Schizosaccharomyces pombe: one gene and its partners. The protein of the gene in region 1 interacts with the protein of each later gene in a pairwise test. Each region holds a gene or a part of one and is shown on either strand. Other genes may lie near its edges. The genes, in order: rcl1, dal81, tea3 and ntu1.

Evidence for each region.
Region 2: the proteins of rcl1 (region 1) and dal81 interact in a two-hybrid assay, tested with the Schizosaccharomyces pombe proteins (one large-scale study listed by BioGRID).
Region 3: the proteins of rcl1 (region 1) and tea3 interact in a two-hybrid assay, tested with the Schizosaccharomyces pombe proteins (one large-scale study listed by BioGRID).
Region 4: the proteins of rcl1 (region 1) and ntu1 interact in a two-hybrid assay, tested with the Schizosaccharomyces pombe proteins (one large-scale study listed by BioGRID).

What each region holds. Positions count from the first base shown.
Region 1 is NC_003424.3:333,884-340,262, forward strand, and holds rcl1 (rRNA processing protein), read left to right. Parts: upstream 1-2,438; 5' UTR 2,439-2,544; coding exon 2,545-3,636; 3' UTR 3,637-4,274; downstream 4,275-6,379. Other genes in the region: mrpl6 (mitochondrial 54S ribosomal protein uL6m), read right to left, coding at 1-453; cpn1 (caprin), read left to right, coding at 777-899, 947-2,062; SAGA complex/transcription factor TFIID complex subunit Taf9, read left to right, coding at 4,509-5,000; protein Mcp60, read right to left, coding at 6,224-6,379. UniProt on the Schizosaccharomyces pombe protein: Does not have cyclase activity. Plays a role in 40S-ribosomal-subunit biogenesis in the early pre-rRNA processing steps at sites A0, A1 and A2 that are required for proper maturation of the 18S RNA. Rcl1 activates bms1 by promoting GDP/GTP exchange.
Region 2 is NC_003424.3:1,744,640-1,752,242, reverse strand, and holds dal81 (transcription factor), read left to right. Parts: upstream 1-3,077; 5' UTR 3,078-3,198; coding exon 3,199-5,325; 3' UTR 5,326-5,775; downstream 5,776-7,603. Other genes in the region: pex6 (peroxin-6), read right to left, coding at 1-740, 795-2,150; ank1 (ankyrin repeat-containing protein), read left to right, coding at 6,646-6,670, 6,724-7,008, 7,293-7,495.
Region 3 is NC_003424.3:3,212,241-3,220,658, reverse strand, and holds tea3 (cell end marker Tea3), read left to right. Parts: upstream 1-2,385; 5' UTR 2,386-2,591; coding exon 2,592-5,969; 3' UTR 5,970-6,146; downstream 6,147-8,418. Other genes in the region: cardiolipin-specific phospholipase Cld1, read left to right, coding at 421-1,707; DNA-binding transcription factor Thi1, read right to left, coding at 6,353-8,418. UniProt on the Schizosaccharomyces pombe protein: Acts as a cell end marker required for efficient new end take-off (NETO), whereby growth is activated at the cell end to generate bipolarity in extending cells. Also required for proper placement of the septum.
Region 4 is NC_003423.3:4,241,745-4,250,454, forward strand, and holds ntu1 (regulatory protein ntu1), read left to right. Parts: upstream 1-2,000; 5' UTR 2,001-2,255; coding exon 2,256-2,345; exon of another isoform or gene 2,346-2,413; intron 2,414-2,615; coding exon 2,616-2,646; intron 2,647-2,753; coding exon 2,754-5,116; 3' UTR 5,117-5,682; downstream 5,683-8,710. Other genes in the region: DNA-binding forkhead transcription factor Fkh2, read right to left, coding at 1-114, 407-918; SPOM_SPBC16G5.17 (transcription factor), read left to right, coding at 6,074-7,756; C-14 sterol reductase Erg24, read left to right, coding at 8,323-8,710.

The DNA of each region.
Region 1 (6,379 bases):
AGAGACCAAAATGTCGTTTGCATAACCTATTTTTAAATGAATATTTCCATCGTTTAGAGAAGTCCGATACCCGATACCAACCAATTTGATAATAGATTGCCAGTACATAGTTACTCCCTTTACATTATTAGCTAGGATAGCCCTAGTAGTGCCCCACATTGCACGTTGCTTTTTAGTAGCTTGCTTTTCTATATTGGCATCCATTCCTACTTTTAGGATGTCATTAGTTTTCGAGAGATTGAGATAATTTGGAAATCTCATGTTAAGTGTTCCATGAGGTCCAGTAATCTGTAGTTGTTCCCCCTCCAAATCAAACTGGATATTTTTTGGAACAATGATTTCTTTTTTTCCAACGTATGATCTAGCAGCTGAACATGTCGTGAAGTTCATACCAAGACGAGCAATTCGAAAAGTTAAGGGCCTTGTTTTCAAGCAACTATCAATAGAAAACATAATTTTATAAATCAAAATAATTCAGTTTTCAAATATATTAGTAAAGGATGCTAGAAAAATTGACTTCGAAATTCGCTAATATCAAATTCTAATAAAAACACGTATTCTTTCTATTCGATTTTTTTTTTTGTGAGATAGCTTAAAATAAATTGTTCCTATTATTAGGGATTAAGACTGCCAAAAGTGTTTGCGGATTTTTAAAGTCAATGTTTGACGATGTGGATACTTAGTAGGTTCATCATGTAGGGTGGCAGCCATGTGGCACGTCAACCAAACTTGCGAAGAACCAACCTGTGGGATAAAAGCGAGAAAAGAAAAAAACCATGCCAAGCCAGGGAAACAATAAAAATAGTGAAAACATCACCCAAAACCCTATAGAGGGAGAACTCGGAAGCGTTATTGTGGAGCATTTAACCAAGCGCATTCGTAACTTTACGAAAAAGAAGGTAAGATCATTTATTAAATTGGGCGTTAAAACTTACTAAATCTGTAGCAAAAAATTCTAAAGCTTGAAGAAATAGCTGCTAGCGATTCCAATTCTCTCAATGATGATCAACGAAAAGCATTACAAGGTAAAGATGCTGTATTGACGACATTGAATGAGTTGAAGGAGTTGTTAAGCCAAATAGATGCTACAAGGATCCGTGATGAAAAACACAAGCGTCAGTTTGAGGCGACCGAAAATGCTAAAAGGAAAGAAGAGATTGAAGCACAATACCGCGAAGGATATGACACCGCTCAAAAGCAAGTCTCAAGTTTGGTCCGTTTTCTACGATTTGCAAGCCATAATTGTGTTCATCCTTCAGATGATGCGCCTTTCAATTCAGCTGTTGAAAAGTTATTGGTGATTGTGTATGAGGGTACCGAGAAATCTGAAAAAGCTGTTGCTGATTTGAACGACTCGTCAACAGACGTTGTACCTGAAAGTGAAGTGTCCTTTCAGACGATTTCATCTAGAGTTGATAATTTTTTCGCTGCTCCTTTGCCTAGTGAACAGGCTGAGGAACTTATCGAAGATGATTATGCGGAGCAACCAGAGCAAGCAGTTGGTCAACCCATTGAGCAACAGAGTATTAGTGATGACGAAGCCCGTCAAACTAATCGACCACTTAACCGTGGCATTCAGTTTTTAAATGAGAGCGAAATTGAAGGACAGCATGTTGAGGAACCCGCTCTCCCCAGTGAAACATCTGTTCCTGCTAATTCTACTCTTCAGGTTCCTACTGAAAATGTTGAAGTAGATGTTTTGGGCAAAGATGGGACCAATATTTATCCCACGCAAAATCAAGTTGTTGAACAAAAACAAATGCAGCAAAAATTGGATTCAATGTCACCAGAATGGTATCAAGCAGCTGATCCTAGCAATGGAGTCGTAGATGGAACACCCAAATTAAATTCCAATACCAGAGGATCTTCAAAACGCCCTTCTGTCAACCGTTCCCAAGGAAGTGGTCAACGTGGTCGAGGTGGACGAGGATTTTATCGCGGAGGTCGTGGCCGTGGAGGATTTTTTAATCGCTCAAAGCGAGGTCAGTATTCCAACAGTAATAACTCAACCTCGCAACCTAGTCCTAACGCTGAGCTATCCAATTTCAATCCCGTAGCCTAAAACGCTTTTACCGCATATATTAACGTTTCACTTTTTTAATGTTTCAGAGGTTTTTGTATCATTCTTTCCTCTAGTGTTCTCTGGCATTTTAAAAAAGTATTTATATATTACCAAAACTCTCAAAGCATAAAATCAATCATCGTTTTATTGCTTTTTATGTTCTAGAAATAAAATTACTTGATTTTATTAATGTGTTAAATATTATATAAGAAAGTATATTTCTTTCTTTTAGTAGTAAAAACAGTTAATTTTTTAAAAAATACAGTACTTTTTTTATTGTTTACATTTATTTAGTAAACAAGTAGCTTTACGGTTACCACGGCAACTCCTAGCTGAGAGGTCAATTCTACCTCTTGCGCTGTAGAAATTCTTTTACCAAAACTAAAAATTTCCTGTAAAGGAATTGAAATATCAAAGTCTCGAAAAACGCGTTTTTAAAATAATTCGGGGCTTTGCATTCATTTTGAATTGTTAAACTCGTGATGTCAACCGGTCAGCTCAAACGCTTTAAAGGATGTGAGTATTTGACGCATCGGTTAGTCCTTGCAACTCTCTCGGGAACTCCGATTCGAGTTGAAGGAATTTACCCAGATGAAGCCGATCCTGGTGTCAAAGATTACCAGGTTTCGTTTTTAAGGCTGTTGGAGAAGTTGACCAATGGCAGTGTCATAGAAATTTCTTACACAGGTACTTCGTTCATATATCGCCCAGGAAATATTATAGGAGGTCGTGTAGTCCATGATTGTCCAACTACCAAAGGGATAGGCTATTTTTTGGAACCAATTCTAATACTTTGTCTTTTTGCAAAAACCCCTACTTCACTTACTCTTACTGGAGTTACTTCCAGTAATGAAGATATTGGTGTCGATGTTTTGCGCACTAGTGTATTACCCTCTCTTCAAAAGCGTTTTCAAGTTGGTGATGAACTTGAGTTGCGCATATTAAAGCGTGGTTCTGCTCCTGGCGGAGGAGGTGAAGTGAATTTTTTATGTCCTGTAATTAAAGAGTCTTTACCTCCCATTCGTCTCTCAGAATTTGGAAGAGTCTTCCGAATCAGAGGAATTGCTTCTTCAACTAGAGTATCTCCCGCTTTTGCAAATCGCTTAGTAGAATCTGCTCGCGGAGTTTTAAATCCTTTTATACCCGATGTTTTCATTTATACAGACGTTCGCCGTGGAGATGAATGTGGTAACAGTCCTGGGTATTCTATCACTTTAGTTGCAGAAACTAATAAGGGTTGCTCTTATGCTGCCGAGCATTGTGGTGAAGCTGGAGAAACACCAGAAGATGTTGGTTCCTTTTGCGCAAAGAAATTATTGGAAGTTATTGAATCTGGTGGTTGTGTAGATCCATATACACAACCTTCAACTTTAACCGGGATGCTACTATCCTCTGAAGACGTTAACACAATAGTTGTGGGTCAACTTGGTATTACTTCGCAATTAGTTGTTTTTCTTCGGGATGTGAAGGCACTTTTCAATTGCGAATATAGATTTAAAGAGCTCGAATCAGGCCAGGTGGAGATGTCATGCTTAGGAAAAGGATATTTAAATGTCAATCGCCGCATTCAATAGAAAACCATTTATCAGTGGGTCCTTTGCTCGTTTATTCTTCTTAAACATCATAACATTACATTTAACATATTGTTCGGGTACTTAAAATGAACGAACGTCTTTTTGATATATATTTACTCTTTAATCGTACTAAGAAGTTCATTACCCATTAACTTCCCATTGCAATTACGACATGAGTATAAAAAAAAAGCACCATACATATTTAGAGATTTAAATACGTTTTTGTGACTCAGTTGTTTTAACGGTCTTGTTATGTTCATTTTCAATTATGGTTTGAATTTTTTTGGTTTCCTTTAAATTACTTGGTTCTGTTTCTACTTCATTCTGCTTTAATATTTCTTTCCCGATGCCTCTTTTTCAGAAAATTAGTTCTTAGATGCTCTTCTCATTTGAAAATCTCAACCTTTTTCCATGTCCTTTTGTAAAAAAAAAACACTGCCAATTTTTAGTAAATTTGTATCATCATTGATTTTGTATGAATGATCCTGTTCGTTTTATTATTTACTAAATGAGAGTTTTTACTTTACGCTGCTTATACTAAAATTTTATGTAACTTCTAAATTATTAACATTGGTGATACTAAAAGCAACTTTGATAGGAATTGCTTTAATGAAATCATTCCTTCTGCATAAATTAAAGTTTGCTTAGATAAATTTTTATGACTCGAAATATTTAGTAATGTATATGTAAAATAGCATTGTTGTAAACTTTCTGAAACAAGCTATTTAGTGGTGTGCAGTGGACTCACGCTAACTTCTGAGTGGATACAATTTGCAACGCTCGCAACGACCATAAATCTTTTTGGGTGGTAAAACAGAAAAATAACGGGAGTCGTATTTGTCTTCGCATATACTTATAGTATTTAATAAATCATGAGTTCTCCAGGAATAAGTGATGAATCTATAAAAGGACCTAAGGACGTTCGTCTGATTCATCTAATACTTAGCTCTCTGGGTGTTCCATCATACTCTCAAACAGTGCCTTTGCAGTTGTTAACATTTGCACATAGATATACACAGCAGTTAATCCAGGATTCACAGGTTTATGCGGAACATTCACGTGGGCAAAATGCTCCAATTTCTGTAGAAGATGTACGTTTAGCTGTTGCTTCTCAAATCAATCACTCCTTCACTGGACCTCCACCAAAAGAATTTTTACTAGAGCTTGCTATGGAGAGAAATCGAAAACCTTTACCCCAAATTCAGCCGTCTTATGGGTTTCGTCTTCCACCGGAGAAGTACTGTTTAACTCAACCCAACTGGATTGTCAGTAATGAAACCCAACAGAATCAACCAAAGGAAGAGAACTCCTCGGATTCACGAATGGAGGAGGATAAACTTGACTTCTCTGTGAAGTCTGAATAAATTTATTTTCCTTTTAAAGTTGTTACTAATGCCGGGGAAGTGCTGATGATTTAGATATATGTAAATATTTTTGAAGCGCTCACGAATCTTTGCAGCAGATGATTATGGTTTTATTTATATGATTTTGTTCCTCCAGAACTTCCTATTTAACTTGCGAAAGCAGGGCGTGGGTAATAAATCGTTTACAGTTATAAGGTACCTGTTTATTTGTTTATTTGCTACGAAATCAGTGTATGGAGCAAAAAAGTATACAACATTTTTAAATTCAGCTCATATTGTACATTACTGTACACTGTATCTTTTATATATGGTACGACATAGAATAGAAAAAAGTGAAAGAGACGGCAACAACATCAGTGACGGCGCGCTTTTTCTTAAAATGTTACAAAAACTGGAGTAATTCATGTAAGGCTGTGAAATTGGCATGAGCTCGTCGAGAGCTTTCTTCAACTACTAGGCTCATTTAAAATTTACACCGCACCAATGTTTCTTTATTACTTACAATTGCCTCTCATCATAACTTTGAAAATACAATTTACCACAATACTAGTGATAACATAATATCATGCATTTTAATTTTCTTTATATGACCTATACAGATCCCCTAAAAAGAATATAGTAGGGATACTCGCACGACAGCTAAAAATATATAAGTTATATAATAATTTTGAATCAGAAGGAAGGCAACGGAAATATCCACACATTTTTTGCGCTCTCGGACATATATTTCATCCGCGTTATTTTCATCATTTTCAAAATCATTTATCTCTCACATACTTCAACCATTTCAAAGCTCACCACAAACCTGTATAGGAAATATAAAGAAACTTGATGCTTTACGTAAACACAATTCAGAACTTACAAAAACACAAAAGTGAAAACTTGGTATTTAAGTCGAAAGTCATACCATTCGTAAAAAGAGTGAAATTATAATGTGTAATAAACACAAGGTAAAACATTATGTTCATTAAACAAAATCAGGAGTTTGATTGTACAATTAGCAACCATATGAGAATAGCCGAATGAAAAGTTTCAAAACAATAAGTATCCATTAACAGAAGTATGACCCATTAACTAGTTTTGAAACTAAAGAATTTTACGAAGGTCAACAACATAATGCAAAATTAAAGCCAATTTCTCTGAATGGATTTAAATCATCATAATCATAAGCTTTTAATAAATTGTAAAAATTTAAAAAACCACGTCGGCATTTTTTTGATACCTTACATCATACCGGGCATTCCACCCATGCCACCCATTCCGGGAGGACCAGCAGGGGCCTTGGACTCTTCAGGAGCATCGACGATGGCACATTCGGTGGTACCCATTAATGAGGCGACTCCACTAGCATCAACTAAACCGGTACGTACGACCTTTAG
Region 2 (7,603 bases), 1.4 Mb from region 1:
GTACCTGGTGGCCCATAAAGAAGTACGCCTGAACGAGGTTTCAATCCTTGAGAAAACAGCTCTGGGAATTGAAGTGGTAATTGCAGGGTATCCCTCAAAACAGTTTTTGCTTCCTCTAATCCACCGATGTCATCCCAATTAACCTTAGGGACAGTAAAAATGGTATTCGATTTTTCTTTACGGATGCGATTAATTGAAACGTCCACGTCTTGCTCTGTAATTATTGGCCCCGATAAAATAATAGAATCATTATCGTAACCAGTTCTCTTTATTCTGTCTACGGCAGCTTTAGTCATATGATCTGGTAAACATTCAAGCTCGCCAAAAGACATTGAATTAGTTTTTAGAGCCACGTCTTTCAAAGATATTCTTTTGTCAATTATAACATTATTTGCATAAATTTTTAAAAGTTCCAAACGTTCATCCATCTCAAGTTCAGAAAATTTTAACTCAAAAAATGATTCTGAAAGAATTTCATACGGTATTTTTTCAATTGAATGGCATGTTCCGATAACAATATATCTACCTTGAGGAGATTTAACCAGATCAATTTTCGACAATAATATTTGAATACTCTTTGAACCAGGTACTATGTTCCCTTCATCCGAAGATATAGAGAGTACATCTAAGTCCTTTACAAAAATGATAGCACAGGGAGACTTAACAACATTTTGCACAAACATGTCAAGCTTAGCTTCTAAATGATCTGCAGTTGCGTCAGCAAATTCGTAAGAAGAAATCTAGAAAACAGTTAGAATGGAATCAAAAAAGAGTTGGGATTAATTGAAACTTACCGTAAAAACAGGTGCACTAAAAAGAGAAGCAACTTCTTCTACTGCCTTTGTTTTTCCCGTAAATGGGTTTCCATGAAGCAGAAAAAAAGGATTAAACCCAGGAACTTGTTGAGGATCAAAAAAAGCTCTGCAGAATCTTAATAGTTTTTGGGAAGGAGGATGTACTTTAACAAAATTTAGAAGAGGTTTCCTAAGGCTGGGAAGAAGTCTGTGGGAAAGTTGAGTGTCAAGCACGATTGAGGTATCCTCATTGGTATAGTAAATGTTATAAGTATTTAAAGGATCTATTTCTTCAACAGAGTACCATATATAAGCGTCGGTATTCCTTGTAAGCTCTAATATATCAACTGAATCTGAATTAGCCATTAACGAATTTATAGGTACACAAAATATTTGTTTGCTTTGTAAGAAAACTTTTTGTTTAACTTGTTGTACAACACAAAGGTTAGCGGCTTTTAGAAGCTTTTCAGAAAAGCAGGATTGAGTTGGAATAGTACGAAGTGAGATTCTTGAAGCGATCCCGACAGATGGCCCACGAGCGACAAGAAATGCCTCTGTACCTTCCTCGGATATAACAGATTCGTTGAATTCATCAAAATAATGAAGAGAAGGCGAAAGCTGTACACTATCATGTTCAGTATCAGATTTTATCGAAGCAATTCCATAGACATTTTTTCCATCTGACAAGCGAAGGCTTATTGGGCAACCATTTTTTTTACCAACATTGAATAATAATTCAAAAGGAACATGAATTAAAGAGCAGTTTTGTAAGCACCATTGTATTTCAGTATGTACTTTTGATGGACGAATGACCAACTCAGCATCTGTTTCGGTTTTTCCTCGTTTAAATGATGAAATATTTTTTTCATTGGATGCTAAAAAAGTAAAACTATCTTTTCTTTCAATAACAAATTTCGTTTCTGAATCCACAACTCCATGTCGAACAGGTTGACAAACTTGTACCAAAATATTTTGGTTAATAAAATCGCTTTCCATTAAAATAGCATTTCTCCCTTTAATCCTTTCAATTATTGCATCCTGATCTTGTGAATTGTCATCTATAACAATCAACTGCACAAAATCCAGTTTGACAGGTGCAATTGTCGATATGTACAAGGCATCAGCCAGTAAGTTATCATAACCAGAAATTTCAACAGTACCATCCTCCAGATCTTCATTATTAATTGGTAAAAATATGCGACCAGCGATTGTAGGATTAGTGGTCATGTAAACATAAGCAGAGTGTTCCTCGAAACCTGGCAACGCTTTCTTGAGCCATAAATATGAAACCCATGCTTGCTTGCTTTCATCTAACTTTGGCAACGGCTTTGCAAGTGTGCAAATGCGATTTTCCATAAAGTAGTTTTCCGTCCTGCAGTATGAATATTTAAAATAAAACGTTGATACAGTTGAAGGCAGGAAATGCGACGATTTTTAAAATCGATCCCAAAAAATATGCACAAACATATAACTATTTATGAAAAAAGAGTATTTATATTTGTATCAATTAGATGCACAAATATTTACAACGAAATTATATTTTGTTGGTTGCAGGAATCTGACAACCTTGATGTCTGAGTACAGAAGATGAAGTTGTGCAAAATGATCGTTATTGAAAGTTAAACTTAACATTGAAGTTTCGTATCAAAAATTTAACATTTATTCAAGTAAAACTAAAAAAAACAAAATCCTGAAAGATATAAGCAAAAGAAAGTATTCCGTGAGATATACTAAGTGTCATTTACTGAGTTAAAATAATTCTCTAACGCCTAAAAGCAAAATATTATGAGTAAATTGAAATTAATCCATTCGTCAAGCCAACACTCTTAAAAGCAAAAAGAATTGTTAAATGGTAATTTTGATAGTTGGTGACTACATCAGAGTTCGTAAACGCAAGGACCCATTTTGGTCAAATAATACTATTTTTTTTTTGAAATAAATTGCGAGAACTTTTCCTTCTATTTGCTTCAAATAAAAAATCAATTGAATACAAGCTATTCTGCATCCGATCATAAAAGTCTAATTTATATCAGCAAATTCATTCGTTGTACTCTGTTTCATTGTATATTTATGTTCTTATTCAATCATAATTGCAAATTATTTAATGCCCATCAATATTTTTACAATAAAGATTTTGAACCCAACGTAAATAGTCTTAAAAAAAGCGATGGTGCTTTAATAATAAGACCATTCATAAACATATGGACGGTTAATCTCGCTAACCTTAATGTACTTAAAGTTAAAGCTAGACGATAAACACCATCCATGCTTCGCTACCGCCCATCTCACTTCAAAATCGCCTTGTTCTTGTAACACATCCCGTTTTGGTGTGCTCCCTAATGAGGTGATACTGTCATCCTTTTACTTGGGTCGTGTAACTACGATTTTATGTATTGATTCGTAAATGGACCAAAGTTCATCTCCTTCGCAGCCAGAGTCTCAGGCTCAACCGAATCTATGTATTCCCTGCAGCTTGGGAACTTGCTTGATCCATTTCCATGAGTTTTCTTCCTCAAGCTTTATGGATCCTGTTTCTTTGTTTTGTTCAAGTCCTTATCCTAACTTGCCACCGCACTCTCGTTCTTCTAGCCTTGAATCGAAAAAGCCTTCGGTTGCCTCGCAAGATGTAAAGTCTGATGGTACTTTGCCTATTGGTACTAATAACAATCCTTTAATTCCTTCACATAGTCAGGAAAGTAGTCACTGGACAATTCGACATGAATCAATGCCTTCCGCATTGGCTGGTAGCTCAGCACAATCCATGCAGCAGTTTCCCTCTATAACTCAGAATGAGGAAAATTTTAGATTTAAAAAGTCTTTCACACAACCACAACCCATTGTTAAAGAAACCACTTTTCCAAAATCCGAACCTGGACAGGAGCATGCAAAGTTATCCGACCTTTCATATGAGGAGTTTTTAAAGAAATACTCATCTACCAAGGTTGAGAGAGTTTCCGAAGCTGCCCCACCTCCCTCAAGTCTAAACAGCTCAACTGTGTTGGATGAGAATGATTCTCTAATTAGTCAAGGTTCATCAGTTGATGACCAAACGGATTTTCTTGGTTTTGACGATTCTTTGTCATATGCTTATATTTTGAACCCAACATCTGATTCTGACGTCGATTTGATAAGGCAGTACTTTATACCTAAAGAGGGAACCTATACATTTAGTAATATGCACATTCGTTATGTTTCTGCAAACCCAAAAACTCCAGTTATGTACATGGTTGATCCAGCTTATGAGCCGCACAAACAAATTGCTCGTTATGAAAAACTTCAGCAAATATTTCAAGTGGTTGAAGCCACAGTATCCCCAGAAGTCGGCGAACGATTGATTGGCCTTTACTTCCGGTACATTCATCGCGTATACCCTGTTATTCATGGCGAAAGATTTCTCCTCGCCTTCAAAAAGGCAAAACACAAACTGTCCCCTATCCTTTTAACTGCGATGTATGCTTCCTCAATTATTTATTGGGATGCGGATAAAGAGTTAAGAAATTATCCTCGCTTGGATGCAAAAAAATTATGGGATCTTACTGAGGATTTCTTGGATCTTTCCTTTTCTCTCTCTCGATTAAGTACGCTACAAGCGGCGATTATTTTTTTAACGGGAAGACCATGGATTAACGTAGCTGGAAACTGGAGCATTTTGACTAGAGCGATTGCTTTAGCGCAAATTCTCGGGTTCCATTTGGATTGCTCTGAATGGCAGATTCCAAAGGAAGAAAAAATCTTGCGTAATCGAGTGTGGTGGGCCCTTTTTGTTAACGAAAAATGGCTTTCGATGTATATTGGGATCAATGCAAGCATTCGTCAAGATGACTACTTAGTACCACCATTAACGGACAACCAGCTATTGGCTGGGGAGCAAAGGATTGCCGACTCATTCAATGTATTTGTTAAAATGGCGGAACTAAGTATTTTGCTTCAAAATGTATTACAACATCTTTTCAACGCTCGAGCGGTTATGACAATGTCGAAAAATCGGCGTACTGTGGCTCAAAAGATATCAAAATATCTGATTAGTCTGGAAGAATTTTCATGTAGCTGTAATTTAAGAGAGAACCAACCTGGATCTTTATCATTGTTTTTACAAATCGATGCCTTGGAGTTGTTATTACGGAAAACAGCATTGAAACTTAAACTGACAGATGCAGTATATCAGCAAGAAATGTTGAACGTGGTGCAACGTTGTGTTTCTCATTTTCTAGCCATTAACGAATCCCATTTTACTGATTTTTTCTGGCCGTATTCCCAATTCTATTTTTGTATCCTATCATCTGCAATCATTAAGATGTATCTGGACTTTGAGTTTAATGAAAATTTTAATGCTACGACTTTTGGCCTTTTGTCATCTTTCACAAAGCATTGTGTCTGGCTGAAGTTTCGAAATTTTGATTTGGTTTTCATGGCTTATAAGCGATTAAACGCGTTGCTGATTGAATTAAGCTCAGGTAGACCACTTATTGGCAAACTTCTACAAGAAACCTTTGAACATCGAAAGCGTAACTTGGACGAAACCCTGACATAATGATAGTGTTTAGACCTTTCTAATTCTTTTTTTTTTGTTTGGTTTTAAGAGTTGTTAATTGAATACTTATGAGCCTATACCTACCTAATTAAGGATATCTACACATTATTATTTTTTTAGTCAGCTCTAGTTGCTTATATTTTATAAAGTAGTTTAGGATCCTTGTTAATTTGATTAAAGGGCTTCATTAAAAACATCTGATAGAAAAGTTTAAGTGAGTTAGGAATATTCACGAAGGATGGAAAGATAATATTGAAGTGATAACATCCTATCGTTTTATAATGAGATATTGATTGCAACAATAAGGTTTATCAGATCTGAACATATATTTATTTATATTTTAAAGTTTACCAGGTGGAAGCAAAAAAGATCTCCTGAGCCAGAATCGAACTAGCGACCAACCGGTATCATCGAAATTACAGCCGGGTGTGATAACCAACTACACCATCAGGAGTTAGTTGAGAAGTGGTGTCTAATAGAATATATATAATATATGAAAAATTAAATATCTTGTATCTTAAATTAGCCGGAGTAGATTCAAATAATGATGATAATTAGATCCGTACAAGTTTATTAAAAAGATGAATGAAAGTAATAGTAGGCTTGAATTCCATTTTTTAAGAACAAATATGAAAACTCTTGATGTGGATACTAGAAGTCTAAGCAATACAGGTATATAACAATAATCCATATTCTTAAAATGATCATCAGAAAACGCTTATTCTTACATATTTTTACTTCATTACAATTATTTACCAGTTTTTTTCATCTTTTCATACTCTATAGTTTCTTATCAAATATTCCGTATAAATTATTAGAGTTGACTTGTACCAAGATCATCTGTTCAATTGCTTTGTGCATATATTTTACTTATGTTGTTTATTTTTCTTTCAGAGGAAGAAGCCTTTTGGCTGTGTCGAATGCGTAGATATGTTATACAAACGGTTATAATCCGGGATATGAGAACTAAATGTTTGGTCACTATAGGACAGTTTTTCGTTATAAAAGAAATAAATTTAAGTGCTTAAAGTACTAATTTTATTAATTCATTGCTTTATTTAGGTCATATTGCAATCATTGATAAACTCAAAGCAAAGGTTAACATAGGTTCTCAAAATTTTGAAAACCCACTGTTAAATTCATCAATTGCAATACCATTTGGAGAAGTAATGATTAAACAGTTTCTTAGTATATGCTTTGTTTATTCGTAACTGACGAACATTTCCGTCCCCCACGCCCCCCACTTATATATAGAGATCCATTCAGCGGACCGAAGAACTAACATACTTACCAAATACATAATACACTATAGTCACGAGAATGTCAACTGAAGGAGCTAAGCCATGTAAGAGCGCTGCTTGATTTATTGGCTGTATCAAGTTGCTAACGATTTTTTAGCGGAAATGTTAATTGCGGCTTGCCGCTCGAATAATGTTGACATGCTTGAGGAAGTTGTTCACCAACAGGAAGGAGACGGAGTGAGCTTCATCAATAATGCTCGTGATTCACTTGGAAACGATTGTGTTCATGTCTGTACAAAATATGGTTCCCTAGAGTGCCTTGACTGGCTTTTAGATATATCTGGCGTAAATTTGAATAACCGCTGTCGTATGACAGGGGACACACCTTTACACTTTGCCGTTATGTTTATAAAAAAAGATCAGGAAACTGCTTTACGTATGGGTAAGTGAATTTACAAGCCGAAGTGCTAATCATTGCTTTCGTGTTCTTTGTTATTTTCGGAAGTTATGGTCAAAGTCGAGTTGTGTATTTCTACGTTGTTTTACGAATGATTCAACGTATGCAAGATCGCTTATATTATGTAAAATTCAAACAATTCTTTGATATTACTTTCTCATAATTTTGTACTTTGCTTCCGCTTATTTCACAAACATCGATTTTGCTTCGGGATAGTTTATAGTGTTTGCTTTGTTGAGTGTATTTGTCTAACTATTGTTTCATTATAGTGGAGATGCTTATGGAGGTTGGTGCCGATCCGCTTCTTACCAACAACGATGGTTTTCGACCAATTGACCTTGTTCCAGGAGACTTTCACGATGTCTTTGCTTCTGCATTAGAAGGACCTGCGCCTGCTCTTCAATATTCTGCAGATGTCGTTGCTGACGATGACGATGAAGAAGAAGGATCCGGTGAGTCGGATGAAGAATAGTTCCCCTTTAGATATTCTTGATTCGGCTTCCCTGTTGTTCTTCTTCTGTTTGGATTTTGAGAAATACACGTTTTGTAAGAGATGTGGGTTATATTAACGATAAAATAT
Region 3 (8,418 bases), 2.9 Mb from region 1:
ATAAAGGGACTTTATCATATTTGAACAATTGCTGTATTAAGTATTGAACTAAAACCTCAATTGTCTTTCTATGAAATTTTCATGAAAACTTGCTTCATCATTTGTTCGCCTTTTTTTAATTCAGCCAAAATGTTACGAAGATTAACGAAAAAAAGTCAGAGAATGTGCTGCTTTTCCGCTGCTTGTTACAATGCCATTGCTTTGTCAGATCAAAACCTTCGTATCTTGCTTACATAAACTTACCCACAGCACAACACTTTGAATTCCAATTGCCGAGCCAATATCCGGAATTTTATTTAAATATCGGAATTATTTTGTTTTAAATAGTTCATAAACAGTAATTTGTTTGTATTGTCATTATCGCGGGGTTGACTCCTTCATTGACCATTTTGTGTTGAATTCAGCGTTTGCACCGTTACTATGAGCCAAGTGAAAGTCGCGGTGAGAAGTGAGGAAGCAGCTAATTCTTATACGCAAACGTTTGGCATGTCCTGGAGGCAATGGCGTCAAGCATGCTCTGAAGAATATGCGAAACAATGTGAGCGTGAAGTCCTGCACACTGTCGATTTTATTCGGGAAAATGAAAAGGACCCAGAAAGGTTAGTTGAAGTTGTAGATTCCAAAATCTACGATAATGATGGATTGGTACATGAGGTTTGTGTTAGTGATAAAGCAACAGGAAAAGCGAACAAGCGAAGCATTGTTTACATGCATGGGTATGGAGCTGGTCTTGGTTTTTACTTTCGGAACATGGATGGTTTGACTAAGGGTGTGACAAAGGATTTTAATTCTTATTTTGTTGATTGGCTAGGCATGGGAAACTCGTCAAGACCGCCTTTCGATATCAAGGGGCAAACCGCTTCAGAGAAGGTCGAAGAAACAGAGAGGTTTTTCACTGAGTCATTAGAAACATGGAGAATCGGTCATGGTATCGAGAAAATGATCCTTGTGGGCCATAGTATGGGAGGTTATTTGTCTGCTGTCTACGCCATGCAATATCCGGAACGTGTTGAGAAACTCTTACTAGTTAGTCCAGTTGCCATTCCTGAAAACCCTTTTGCAAGCAACGATGATGCGGAAGTTTACAATTCCGTTGCTTCCTCTGCTGTGCATGCTGTTATGGATGAACCTCCTTTAAGTAATGTTACTAATGAGGTTCTGCAAACCCAAGAGGAAACTACAGGTTTAGAGCCTTCCCGGCCAAGCAAGCCAAAGAATCCTCTTCCAAGATTTATCACCTTCTTATGGGAGCAAAATGTTACACCATTTTCTCTACTTCGTTTAAGCGGGCCTTTAGGTCCTAAACTAATGAGTTTTTGGTCTAGCAGAAGGTTTTCAACGCTTCCCCCGGAAACGTTTAGGGCATTACATAATTACTGCTACTCAATATTTCGTCTCAAGGGTTCCAGCGAGTATGCACTTGGCAATTTGCTCGCTCCCGGAGCTTTCGCTAGACGATGTATTATGAATCGCTTGCGCATGTTGAAGTGTCGAACTATATTCATGTATGGAGATAAAGATTGGATGGATGATGTTGCTGGTTTAGAAGCGACAAACAGATTGAAGGAGATGAATATTGAGGCGGAGCACCACATAATTTCAAATGCTGGTCACCATTGCTATCTTGATAACCCTGAAGATTTTAATGAGATTGTACTAAAGGAGATACGAATGAGTTTACGTTCTTTTTCTTCGATTTCAGAGTAAATTTTTATTTTTTATGCCCTTCGCTTAGTGCTTCATTATTTTTATTTATTCTTTCTTGTCCTGCAAACTATCCCATGTGATGCTGTTATAGACCTCATTCATTAATTTATACTACACATTATTCTTTGGATTCCAATTGAACGACTTTTTTTTACCTAACTTTTTATCGGTCCATTTTGAATCGATTTTTATTGCATTGACGCTCATTTGCTTCATTTATCGCAATTTTATTTTTTTGTCCGATTACTTGTCCAGCATGTGTTTTCAAATGTTTTATTTTTAAAATGTGCCTTATAAATCAAATTTTGTAATATTTGTAGGCCATTTACTACAATTAGCTTATAAAGTAAATAACAGTTTTTGTGGTTGTCTATTTTAAATTCTATCCTATAGAGTAATTGGAAAAATACATTTTTCTTGCTCTAAGCTTTTCAAACGTGAAGCATATTTCGTACTTCTAAATTTCAATTCAAACAGAGCATTCAACGGTAATGTATACTATTGCGCTTAAACTTGTATCTACTCTCCCTTCTTTATGTTTAATGAAGATATAAATTATAAACATCATACAGTATTACAAAAATTTATTGTAGGGTATTGCAATTGTATTCGTTGTTCTAAGACTTCTCTACTCTAAGTTGCCGTTTCCTGATGGACTGTGTGTTTCCATTACCCTCCACAAGTTATGCTCTTTTCATATTATTTCGAAAATTTTACTTTTTAATTCTTTTTTAAAACTAAAATATATATTTTTTCTATTTTATTTCTTTTTTAAGCGTAAAAACCGAACCTTTTAAAAAACTCCTTGGATTAAACTTTCGCTTTGATTACCATCTGCAACTGCAAAACCAGTAAGCGATTTTGCAAGGTAAAGATCGCAATACATGGTTCAAAAGGTTTTAAGCCGTCAATCGGATAACTCTCAGGATGTGTCTGCTGAACAGCTTGATGTAGTGGAATCCGGTAGCATTGATCAGCAAAATATACGTGCATGGGTTGTTCGCAAAGTCAAAGAAAATGATAAAAGGACATCTACGAACCAAAGTTTTAAATGGGAAGCTGTAAAACCGGCTTCTTGTCTAGATGCTGCGAATGAAAAATTCATGTACTTACATGGAGGACGAGAAAAATCTGGTATTTCAAACTCTTTGTTTAAGTTGGACCTGGATTCATGCACGGTTTATTCTCACAATAGAGGGGAAGACAATGATTCTCCTGCTCGAGTTGGTCATTCTATCGTTTGTTCTGCTGACACTATTTATCTTTTCGGAGGATGCGACTCAGAAACAGATTCCACATTTGAAGTTGGCGATAATTCATTGTACGCATACAATTTCAAGAGTAATCAATGGAATTTGGTTTCAACACAGTCCCCCTTACCATCGCCTCGCACTGGACATTCTATGTTGTTAGTTGACTCTAAATTATGGATATTTGGGGGTGAATGTCAAGGAAAATATTTGAATGATATACATTTGTTTGATACCAAAGGGGTTGATCGGAGGACGCAATCAGAACTCAAGCAAAAGGCAAATGCAAATAATGTTGAAAAGGCTAATATGGAATTTGATGAGACTGATTGGTCATGGGAAACACCGTTTTTGCATAGCTCATCCCCTCCACCTCGTTCAAATCACTCAGTTACTCTTGTCCAAGGAAAAATATTTGTACATGGAGGGCATAATGATACTGGTCCATTAAGTGATCTTTGGCTTTTTGATTTAGAAACACTTTCATGGACCGAGGTTCGTTCTATAGGAAGATTTCCAGGTCCGCGGGAAGGTCATCAAGCTACTACAATAGATGACACGGTTTACATTTATGGTGGTCGTGATAATAAAGGGTTGATACTCAACGAGCTTTGGGCTTTTAATTATAGTCAACAGCGGTGGTCCTTAGTCTCAAATCCGATCCCTATTTTGCTTTCTGATTCATCTTCATACAAAATTGTTTCAAAAAACAATCATATTTTACTATTATATCTTAATGCACTTGACGCTCCTAAGCAACTGTTATGTTATGAAGCAGATCCCAAAAATTTGTATTGGGATAAGGATAAATTTTCTGATATTCCTGTTCTTCAGCATATTAGCATGAAACCTTCAAATGCTTCAAACCACACGGTTTCTCTTGGTTACCTAAACGACCGTCCTAATCATTCCAAAAAGAATTCTGTGACATCCACCTCGTCTAGTCAATTTAACAATTTTTTGGAGCAAAATCAAAAAGCCGTAAGATCAGCTAGGCATCGGCACTATGCTAGCTTGGATGAACAAGGATTACATTCTTTGAGAAACCTTAGTAAAACCTCTGGAATGAATCATTCAGCAGATTTCTCTCTTCACGAGTTTGGGCAAGCTGACCCCTTTGCTTACGAAATTGAGAAACCTATTGCGTCTCTTCCTTTACCTAATGGAAACGATACTATTTCTAGGTCTTCCGAATCTTCATCTCCAATCAACGAAAGTGAAAGTAATTCTCTGCTTAAACTCCAATCAGATTTTAAGTTTTCTAATTCTGATGATCGTGTAGCTTGGCTTGAGGAGCAACTGTTATATTGTATGCAACAAGGCTATACTCTCAAACCTCCTAACCTGTTTCAACACGTTGATGAAAAATTGAGGCTTGAGAAAAAAGAGCAGCTCAGTTATTTGGAAATACTGAAGGTGATTGAGCAAATGCTTGAATCTAATGAACAAAAGTTTAAAAAGCAAATCGTTAGCCTAGCATCTGAAAACGCAAAATTGGCTGCTCAGAGAGATGCTGCCGTGGAAAATGCAAATTATTCACGTTCACTGATCCAGAAAAAGACAACGGACGAAACTGTTGGATCTTTAATAGAAAAAGTTGGAAAGTTAGAGTACGAAGTTCAAGGGACTCTTGAAGAGGCAACCTCTTATTATCAAAAAAATACTGAACTTCAACAGTTATTGAAGCAAAATGAATCCGCTTCTGAACTCTTAAAATCTCGAAATGAGAAACTTTGTGTAGATTATGATAAACTTCGTAGTGTGTTTGAAGAAGATTCATCAAAAATACTATCTTTACAAAAAGAAAATGAAAACCTACAATCACAGATATTGCAAATTTCAGAAGAGTTAGTCGATTATCGTTCTCGTTGCGAGGCTTTGGAGTATGGAAATTATGAGCTGGAAACGAAGCTAATTGAGATGCATGATCGAGTGGAGATGCAGACAAATGTGATTGAAGCATCCGCTAGTGCTCTTGATGTGTCCAATACTGCCATATTGTCTTTTGAAGATTCGCTCCGTAGAGAAAGGGATGAGAAAAGTACGTTGCAACAGAAGTGCTTAAATTTACAGTACGAATATGAGAATGTTCGGATTGAGTTGGAAAATTTGCAATCTCGTGCGCTAGAGTTGGAGTCAGCCTTAGAACAATCAGTGTCTGATGCTAAATACTCGAAAGCTATAATGCAAAGCGGATTATCAAAGTTATTATCTTCTATTAACGAAAATAAAGATAATCTTAAAGAGTTTTCGAAGTCGAAACAAAAGATCTCCTACTTGGAGTCTCAGCTAGAAGGGCTTCACGAGTTGTTACGTGAGTCCCAGAGACTTTGTGAGGGTCGCACTAAAGAGCTACTAAATTCTCAGCAAAAGCTCTATGATCTAAAGCATTCATATTCCTCTGTAATGACAGAGAAAAGTAAACTTTCTGATCAGGTCAATGATCTTACCGAGCAAGCAAAAATTACTCAGCGTAAGCTCTCTGAGGTACAAATTGCATTGGCTGATTCAAAAATGAATCAACAGTTATCAGGAAAGGACTCTACTGACGTTCATCTTCCTACGGACTTTTCAGCTTCCTCCTCTCCCTTAAGATCATACTTTAACGAAGAGGATTCATTCAATAATGCTAGTGCTGCACATAGTTCAAAAGAATCTGACATACCTTCTGGTGGTGTGTTTACAAAATATCGTAATCATTTTGGTAATTTGATGACATCTGAAGAAACAAAAGCCCCGGATAACAATGATTTACATAAAAGACTTTCTGATGTTATCAACAGTCAGCAAAAATTTTTGTCTTTGTCCCCTCAGGTATCTAAAGATTATTATGATGTTCGCTCAAAACTAAATGATACCGCGGGCTCATTTTCAGGTGAAGAAATGCGTGCAATTGATGATAATTACTATGCCAGTCGTATTAAGCAACTGGAGGATGATTATCAAAAAGCCATAACATATGCCAATTGCTCAGATGAGTCATTTCAGCAGCTTAGTCATTCATTTATGTAACTCTATTCATCAACTAAGGATTTTTTATCTCTTTTTTGGTTTGTACAATTTTCTTAATAATTTTTTGAAGTGGTTTGATTTTTTCTACTTAATCTCAAGTCGTTTGACTACGTATGTAAATTACCACTATATTTAACAATAAAATACGCAATTATTTCTACTGCATTTACATTGACTCATTTATATTTTAAAAAGTAATGAAATTTAATTAACTTTTAAAAAGTAAGAGAAAATTTAAAGTATTAGATTGATGAGGATACTCTCAAGTGCAAATTACTAAACTGGTATTAAATGCTAATTCCTTAACCACGCGAACAAAGCATATGATGAATTACGTAGAAATAATTAAAACAAACAAAGACCTGCAAAAAACCATTAAAGATTCATCCATTTTTTTCAAGGGTCAAATTTGAAGTTTGCTCTGCAGTATGCGAAGACTGCTCAGAGACATTAGTAGGGCCTAGCAGTTCCGTCCAACTCAAAAACGTAGGAGCCGTCCATTGTTTATCAACTTCCAAATTGAGAACTGGATCCGGTAGAAAAGTTTCAGGTGTGAGCAAACTGGGTTGGTTACTAACATAACTTTTGTTTAGACCCGGAACATTATAGAGAGATGATGTTTGGTCAAAAGGTTGGAATGCTTCGTTTGGAGTACTATTACTACCATTTGAGCTTTCTCCTGTAAGCTTAAAGGTAGAAAGCATGTCTCCATGTGACATATCTCCCACCCAGGATTGCCAATTTTGAAAACTATTTTGGAAATCTGCAATCGGATTATTAATGTCTGGGGCATTGCGCCTAGATAACTGTTTGTTAAATGACTTAAGGTAGTTTAGACTTTCTCTAGCAAATTCACACCTTGAACTCAGAAATTCCAATACCTGCCATAATTTTGTGACTACAGCTTGAATATCCTGAGAGTTTTCGTAATGAAGAGACAAGAGTAAAATAGGTGCGCTTGCAAATGGAACATGCAGCCCGAAAAACGATAAGCTGGACAAACACTTATGTGTTAATAAAAGATGTGCTATGTTTATGACCCTTGTTGCGCTTTCAACACATAGCTGGATGTAGCGACGATTTTCAGCAGTTAAATCTTTATCTTTTAATTTCTTTACCATAATAACTCTCGTAGTAAGCATAATCGCATTATCATATATCATTTGAACATGTGCATTTGACCGGAAGAGTGGATGCTGAACAGCCGATTCATCAAAAACCACAGAAGAATGTAAATCACTTTTCCAAAGCTCTAGACGAGCATAAATCCTACGGACAGAATTAACTTGCGATTCAAAGCTTGGAGAAGGGTTCCAGTACAGCGAATCGCAAATCTCATTTGTTAACTTAGCCAAGTTAATAACGGCACGCATGTTTTCGACGATAGACTGAGAACCCGGTATTTCTAAATCGGGCAATATAACAGGGTAAGGTATAGAAATGCATTCCAAAGGTATGCTAGGGCGTCTTCCAGTAGTCATGCTTACAAAACGGTCAATACAGAAAACTGACCACAACAATCGGTTTCTCAATTCCTTGGAATTTTGGGTAAGAGAAGGATCATCAGAGTTTTTGTGAAGTCCTAGGGCAACCGCAAATTTGATCGCCAAACCAAAATATGCAAAACTAGATTTTTCATAAATGGTAGATTGAAGATACAGACCAATAAGTAGGGAAGATTGAACTGCACTAACGTCTGATTGTAAAAGGACGAGTGGAAAAATGCTCAGCGCAGCTGAAAATAATCTGTTACCAATGTTGGAGGCATGAAAATTCGACTTGCTGACATCTTCCTGTTGTTCTGCCGTATACTGATTGCCAAAAGCAAGAACCATAAGTAGAATGCACAAAAATCCAGCATCAATTTGGTTTTCCATCGCTAAAAAAATCTCTAATCTACATTTGAAAAAATGGGGATGATAAACAAACAAATTGGTTTGGACGTTGATAAAAAAAGAATTGATTAAAAATTCAACCACAGCTTTGGAAGGGATCAAGCTTCTTGCATGTAAAAGTAATTGTTCATCAAATTCGGAATATGAGACGGAAGGTGATAAACGCTTGGAATACAAATCGTCTTCAGAAATTGATTCAAGCTCCAATTCGTTTTGCAAACGTTCAATAAACGCCTCAGAGGTTGTTGGTCCAAGATAAAGCGTATCTTCAAGTTTCCCTACTTTGAGTTGATCTCTGAACGAAATGCCTGGCTGTACCTCACCTGCAATTAAGGAAGATGATGATTGCATTTCTTCCGTAGTTCCACTTATATGATTTCTGCTTAGCTGATCATTAATTCGTACTAATGTGTCTAGCTCATTTGTAACTTCAGCTATTTTTGACACAGGCAAGTTTTCGTTTTCAGATAACTTTTTGGATATCGAAATTAAATTTTTGGTTTCGAGGTTGAAATTTGGGCACATTCGAGAGAAAATGTATTCCAAACATAGTT
Region 4 (8,710 bases), on another chromosome or scaffold:
GAAATTTCAGACTTTATAGCATCCTCCTTTATAGTGCTTTCGTCAGTTTGCTTTTGCTCAGCTGCATTGGGTAGTACGAACATCATTTGTAAACCCGCTACTTCGAGTATAGATCTAGTAGATAATTAGTAAGACGAAAAAGAAATAAAAAAAAATAATTGGCATAATTTCCTGCATTTATTTGAACTAGGACGGAAATAATTATTTTCTTGATAATTTGACAAATCCTTAACGCGCATTTATAAAATAACCAAACATTCGTTTAAAATTGACAAATAACACGAGAAAACCATAGAACTTATGAAAGAGTAAAGCATAAATTATGCGCTGCTGAAACCATCAATATTCCGTCCTGTCGCAAATCACGACGAACCAACACTATTCTAGTAAATGATTTTTAACATACCCACTTGTAAGCTTGACTGTTTCCCCATTCTTGAATAACTTGCCATCTACTTTAATGCCATTTCGACCGTAAACTGAGCAATTCCATGTTTGGTCATCCAAATCATATTCCACAACAGCGTGTTTTCGACTCACAACTTTAGAAGGACCAAAATTCATATCAATTACTTCTAAATCTTCATTTTTCCCCTTTGGTGAAGGATTTGCTGGTTCGCGACCAAGTATAATTCGAATTTTCTTAACATAATAAGTCCATGTACTTCCAGCGAATTTCGCATAAGCTTGTATTTCTCCAGAGTGTCTTTCCGCATTTTTACTGTTCGAATAATCATCGACCACTCTCATTTCGTGAGGTGGAACGGACAACTTCGCAATTTGGGATTCCAGGCGACCATTCAATACAATGTTACGATCTGTGTCTACATCCATTTGCTTTTTGTAATCTAACTGTTCTTTTCTCTCCTCGTCATCTGATATATGCTCAGACTTGCTTTCGAGTCTGCGAACAGTCATTTTTCCTTTCTACAGCAATTGTGCTGTTGGTGTGTGTTTATTTACACTCGTTTGTTGTTGTCAACATTCGTTTACCTTCCGTTGCCAGCGCTTCACGGTATAACTAATATTGACCATCATTTTAGATACATAGAAATTAAAATATACATTTTTCTAAATATTTGTACATTTTTTATTTTTGTCAACAATGCGTCTTTGTTATCGTTGCTATTTATATTTTTGTAAACAATCAAGATACCGGATCTTCGATATACTTTTTTAAATACTAAGCAGTTAAAAAAATCCTCTTAATATATTGGCGTAGGATTAACTTATAAAAAAAAAAAACTCAAACAATCATAACTCTGCAAGACTTGTAATAATTTTAGCTTTTCAGCACTCAGTGTTTTTTGCACATGTAATGGCGTCTAACGGTCGCGTGCATATCCTAGTAATTACCCTATTATTTAAAACGTGTCTACTGAAGATTTATTTTGAGAACTGTACAAGCTATTACATGAATACACTAAGAGTATTAATTGTGTTTTATGGAAATTCCGAATCATTATTTCGCTTTCAATCAACCGATTTTGTGTGGCTGCAATATTAACGCTCAACTGTTTACTCACGTTATTTTCCATATTTTTACTAACTACGCGATTCGCGAAGTCTCTGTAGGATACGTAATATTATTTGGTGAGTTCGTAGCGCACTATAATGTGTGGTACACAACAGAAAGTATTATGCAATATACAGTTACCGAACATAACTCAGGCACGGAGAGACTTTGATATTATAATAAATAATATGTGGCTTACATGAACAGACAAACTTGATCTTGAATGATCTTTATTTCCCATACTTTTTTCTTCAGTAATATTGAAAATAGTCAATAAACGGCTTGATGGTTCCAGCTTCAGGACTCATTGGAGAACTCACACGTGAAGATGTCAGGCTTATAACGATATTTAACATACCGCAACAAAAACATTTAGCATGGTATAATCTCATTGCTTCACCTACACATGTATGCTAACGTGAAGTAACGAGTAATTACTATTTAGCGGATGTATACGATCGCTGGCACACACTCTCGTAGGTTTAACCTGTCGCGTATATCATCCATAATCGCTTCGCAGCGATCACCATTTATTTATTTATTTACCTATCTAAAGCACCAAATTCCTTTAGTTTCAAAGCGTTAAATTTTGAATGATAAACTGCATTTTTGCTCACTTGCGTTAACTTTCGGTTGTAAAAACCGGTAACAACGATTCGATAAATACAAATTAAAAGACCTGTTCTCCCTCAAGTTTGAAGTTAGCAGGCTTCAACATAGTTTATTGATAGGCTGCTGAATGTCTTCCGGCGATGTATCTCGTAGACAGCGTGTTTCTAGAGCATGTGATGAATGTCACAGGAGAAAGATCAAATGTGATCAGAGAAGGGTAAGATGTCAATTTCTTTGCTCTATTTATGTTTTGCATAATTTTATTATTTGAGTTGGGAACTGAGAACTCACTTCACCCAGTTACCGCTTTCTCTGAAGTTGATTGTAGCTTGATTGATTTCAGTTCAGCTAGAGAGCATGCGGATAACCTTTGTCGTTAATTTATTATTTTTTTGGCTTTTATTGCTCTTTTTCTATCTTATTTGCATTAATTTGGATGAGCGATTAGAAATAAATATAAATTTCTGTTCTTTACTAACTTTTTCAGCCTTGCTCGAATTGCATAGCATATAACTATGGTAAGTGCCTACAATTTAGATGAGATTATTTTCTTCAAGTTTAGTCGCTTTAAAATTTATTTCAAGCCTCTATTATAATTGGATGGAGTTTTCTAACTTTGTTGAAGAATGTACTTATGGTCAACCTTTTAAGCGATTACGGCATGCTCCTGAGAAGTATATAGAATTTTTGGAGCTTCGATTGAAATATCTGAGGGGACTGGCTGAAGAAAGCGATCCAAATTTAAAGTTGCCATCATTTCTGGCTCCTCCAAATGACAAAGATTCTCCTGTGAACCAATCTCCTTGGAAACGCTCTGATTCCTCTAAAAGAAGCTCGTCACAGGACGAGTTTGAAAGCTTATTCGACCGGTATGGACAATTGAGTTTAAAAGATGATGGGAAAGCCGACTTTCGTGGAAGTTCCTCTGGCTTTGTCTTTATGAAAAATATACATCAAAACATTGCGAGGAATTCTACGGTTCCCAATCCTGTCCAAGAATCTAATTCATCTTCTTCTCAGCCAGATCCTTTATCTTTTCCGTATCTTCCACCCACCCCTGCCGAAGATGAACATAAAAAACCGCCTCTCAAAATTCAGCTACCTCCATATGAGGAGGCTCTTTCTATTGTTAGCCAATTTTTTATGAATGACCATTTTTTGGTACATATTCATCATCCTGCATCTTTCTTTGAGAAGATGCATATGTATTACAAAACTGGCAAGACTGATAACAATTTTCATTTTTTACTTGTCGCTACATTGTGCTTGGGTTACACCTATATGCCCGATGAATCTCCTAGTGCTAACTATCCTTATCATGAAGCTTACGAGTATTACTATTACATTCGGTCTTCATTTTCATGGGAAGATAGTTATACGATTGAAGTTGTGCAAATTTTATTGTCTGTTGCGCTTTTTGCTTTGTTCAGTTCCCGACTTTCTCAAGCTTATACGTTCACGAATAATGCGTTATTGTGTTGCCACGAATTGGGATTGCACAAGGATTTTTCAGACGTTCTCACATCTCATGAATCTCGGTTATCCAAACGGGTATTTTATTCTGTGTACGTTTTGGCTTGTTACACCAGTACAATTGTTGGTCTTCCTCTCAGTATTGAGGACGTTGATATTGATCAATCGTTACCCAATTCTTTTGATTTCACATTAGAAAATGACCAGGTTCCTCCACGATTAATAGCATCAGAATGCACTAGCTTGGAAGTTTTTATACAACACATAACGCTTTCTCGTATTTTAAGTCATTTTGTAAGGAAAGTGTATCCAGTCAAATCGCCCTCTGACTCACACTGTAAAGTTTCATTACCAGCTGTTCGTGATCATGAAGAAAAACTTACATATTGGTGGAAAAACTTACCTTCTTATTTAAAAATGAGCGAAGTTCCAAAATTTTCACCCAAATGGATCCAAGCAATAATACTGGAATTGAAATTCAGGCAAATAGAACTCATTTTCTATCGCCCTTTTATTCACAGTATTAGTACACCAATTGATAATCAGAATGGGTCGCCAATGAAACCTGCAAATTTTGCTTTAAAGTGTGCACAATCTGCGGAGCGTGTTGTTTTTTTGTTACAGGAATTGGCCAAATCTCCAAATACTCCCAAACTGTTTTTCAATTTGTATTCTGGATACTACGCGTTAATGACCTTGACATATTGTGCTACTTTGACGAAGGACGATGCCAATAAATCTAATAATTTCATAACTAAGGCAAGATTAGGATTTCATTGTCTACAAATGATATACCGCGAATCCACTTACTATAGTACAATAATGGAGGCAATCAAGAACTTGCTAATTGCGTATGATATGAACTCATCTGGTACTGAAAATTTGGATGCGACCCCGGATGTTACAGGACAACTACCAAACAACTTTTCGCAGAGAACTAGTAATATACCTAGAGAGTTTCCGCAAGCACAAATATTTTATTCAGATGCTCCTTACCCAGGTTACTATAATCCTGCCCAGTTTCAAAATGCACCAACAAATTTCCCTATGCCTACGTATGGTGGGCGTACACAGGATCAATCTTATCCTAGACAAAACGGATATCCTTCCTATTCTGATGGTAATGTATACCCTCATGATAGGGTTATGATTAATTATGGTTCTTCAATGCCAACAGCGAATGGTTTTTATGTTCCGAACACCTATTCTCCAGTACCTTTCCCGTATAATACTTCATACCCTCCATACATGAGTCCAACTTCGAATATGCCTCAGGCTTTCCAAGCATATTCACAGTATCCTTACCAGCACCCGCCTTTTCCCTTGTCAGAACAAATGCTACCACTGCCTACTTCAGGGGTTATGATGGCACCTGGAGCTGCAAAATCTGGCATGCCGTATCCCTTCATTCAACCACCTTCCATGACTAACCAAGTTGCTTATCCTACTGTCCGAGATGGTTCTAATAATTCTCCTGACCATCCAAGTTCCTCAAACTCTAAAAGAACCGAGTGAGCGATCAATGTTGTTAAGCATAGAAACTCACTTTTGTTTTCAAAATTTTTTTTTCTGCAATAATTCTTGCTTCACTTTTTATCTTTAATAAGGGTTCTAGCTCCAACTTTTAGGGTTTGCTCATGAGAAAAAACATTGACATTTTTAAAAAACTTATTTTTTGTTCCTTTTAATTAAGTGATATTTTGTTTGGTTGATGATTAGCTTTTTATGTTTATTGAATAATAGAACGATTGAATATCTAGATTATCTGTCTTCCTAGATGTTTGTGATAGATTTGCTTTTTGATCTTTTGATCAAGCTTAGAGAGTTAGCCTACTGCTTCATGTCCATTAGCTAGTGATATTTACGCGCATTATTATCAGCAATGAATAACCAAGTAGTGTTAAAAGCTAAAAATTTTGGAGTAAAGTTACGTTGAAGTTCTACATTATAATGGATTACTGCAAAGCAATTGATGAACTAAAAACTTTAATAGTGTGCATTTTCTTTCACGATGGAATGTATAATTACTAAAATGACAATTAGCTGTTTATTTTGTAAGCAACTGCAAACCCAACTGTGGAACGTATTGTTGAGTACCTTTGGCATCTAGGCTAAAAAAATGATCCCTATAAAAATCTTCTAAATAAAAGCTCTGCGAAAAAAATGGTATCGAGATCTGATGCTTACACTGTATTTTAGACGTTGAAGAATTTAAATAATTAAGCCTGCACACTCAATATTTACCACCACACAACGTTGACACCGCCTTTGCATTCATAAAAATGTTTGCAGTAAAATATTAGTAGTCTCATCGATTCAATTGAAGCATAATCCCAGCTTAAAAGTTCGATGGTTATCAGGTTAATACTGAATGAAACCTTTAGTTTGTGCGTATAATTTTTTATGGTGAATTGTATTTTATAGAAATATCCAACTTTCTACTACAGAAGAAATACCGTAATTAGGTAAATTATGGTTGGGAAATCTAAAAATAGGGCCCACAAAAATATTCGAGCTAGATCTTGTCTGAGATGCAGGCGCCGAAAAGTCAAATGTGACCGCCAATATCCTTGTTCTCGATGTAAAGAGAGTGAAGAATCATGTACATATGGAGTAAACGAGCAAGCAGTCCAACTTCTTGAAGAACCTTTAAGCCGACCAATTACTAGAGAAACAGATAGTTCTGCTCATCAAGAGACTCGGACGCGTTTGGAAGAAAACAACCTCCCTAAAACCCAGAAGTTTGGATTCGTAGACTGGAAAACAATTTTGAAATCTTCGGCTGAATTTCAAGGTATTGTTCAGAGAGATCCAGAATCACGTTTAAGAGAAGCTTTAGAAACGGATCCTAAATTGAAAAAACGATTAGAATGTATTTTAGAAACTATCCCTCCTTGGGATGTATGCGAAAGCCTTTTAAAAGTTTATGCTAATACTTTTAATGTAACAAATTATATTTTAGATTTTGAGCAAGCTGATAAATTGTTATCTGATCTGAAAAATTCTAACCATGTTTTCGCGACTTCTATTATTTTAATAGTTACAGCAATTGCGGTAGCACTTTCGTTAGAATCCTTTCCTTCAAATATTGAAAGATACTTTTCGGCTGTTAATCATAGCGCCATTGAACTATCGGATGCATTAAATTCAAAAATTGATGACTTTTTAAATGAGGAGGTAATATTTCGACTATGGAGAAATATTGACAGAATTCGACTGCATGCTATAAGGGCGCAACTTTGCATGCGAAACCAGTTTCGAAGTATGAACACTGATCTATGTTATGCAATTCATTACGCATGTTTTGTTAATCCAATCTTTCAAAATACTGATACCGAGTATGAAGCAAATATGGAGGTTTGGCTTTCGATTTGTGAGATAGATGCTTTGGAATGTGTTTTACGATCTTGCCAGCCTTGGGTTCAGCACGATATTTACGGCAAACTTCTCTCTCAGCGAAAAATGGGTTCAGATGTTATTAGTTATGAGTTTCACTCACTACTCGGGCAATTGTTAACTTGTGGTTTGGAAATATATAAAGCTATTCATACTTCGACTGTAAACGAATTCGTTAACTCTATTCAGTTTTATGAAAGTCAACTATCGCTGGTTTTAATGGAAATAGAGTCGAAGTTTTCTAATATCGATGGATCAGATATTCATTTTCGCTATTTATTTCTCAAAACCGTATTTTGGACAGTACGTAAAAATCTTTATCAAGGTTTTATTACTGTGAGCCGTACTTTAGTACCCAATTATCCAGATATTGTTCAAAAGCTTGGCCAAACATCGATACAGTTGTCACGATTAATTAGCAATTCAATGGATTGTTTCGAAAAATACGGTTGGCTGAAAGCAATGTTAATTTTAGTTACACATACGTTTCTTATAATACATGTTTGTTCCGAAAGGGGTTACGATGTCCCAAAGGATTTTTGGAATGTAACTGCATCAGTACAGGCTACCCTTGAGGAAAAGAAATATCCGGGAATTGTATGGGAAAGGATTCATTACGTTCTGAATATATACACGACAATCAATTCGGTAGAACCAGAGCTCTCAGAAGACCATGGAGATTTGGACGACCAAAACCTTTTTCAGGTTTTTACCGACATATTTGATTTTAATTTTAATTTTCCATTACCAAACTTATAAATTATATAATCTTCTAATAGTGTGGATGTACAGCTATGCTTGTTTTTCTCTAAAGGATCAATGCCTTGCGGCTACGTTTATTTGATTTCGATGATCTGCCATTTTACAAATTATTAATTTGTAGGAAATTACATCAAATATATATATATATATATGCATTACTCCAATTTCTTTCAGTTGTAGAATATACTATTACTATATAAATGTTAATAATATAAATTTTTCAATAAAATCAGATAAGTAACTAATTTTGTATATTGGTATTCTAAAGATCTACAATTGTTTTACTAATTTGTATTGCTGGCTTGCGAACGTATGGTAAGAACACATCCCTGACGGACCGCTGATTTATTAATTAAATAAGCATTAAACGAGCCGAAGCTTATGAAAATCATCATTTTTATGATTTTTCTGTTGTTTGGAGGAGCAAAAAGGCCTACGTTGGAATAAGATCATTAAGGTAACACATATTATGTATATCATGCGACATGGCATTTAAATAAAGATACTCCATAACATCTTCGAAACTCCTAGTTGCTACTGCCATTTCATAGAACTTTTTGAAAATGGCTAAAGGTGCGGTAAAAAAGGAGAAATTCGAATATGAATTTTTTGGGCCCATTGGCGCTTTAGGTGTTACTGTTTTAACGACCGTCGTATCTTTTGGTTCATTTTATATCTGTAATGAGGAAGGATGCCCGGCTAAATTCTCTAAAATCTCTCATATATTTAAAAAAACTCCTCTATTTGACCAAAAGTCTTTAATTTTGTACTTGCTTTGGTTTAGTACTCTCACTTTGTTATGGAAATGCACGAATGGAAAATGGGCAAAGGGTACACCTATAGACGACAAAGGGACAAGATTACTTTATAAAATAAATGGTTTTAACTCAGCTTGCCTAATACTTGGTGTCGTTTGTACCTCAATATACCTGTTGGGAGCTAGCTGCATGG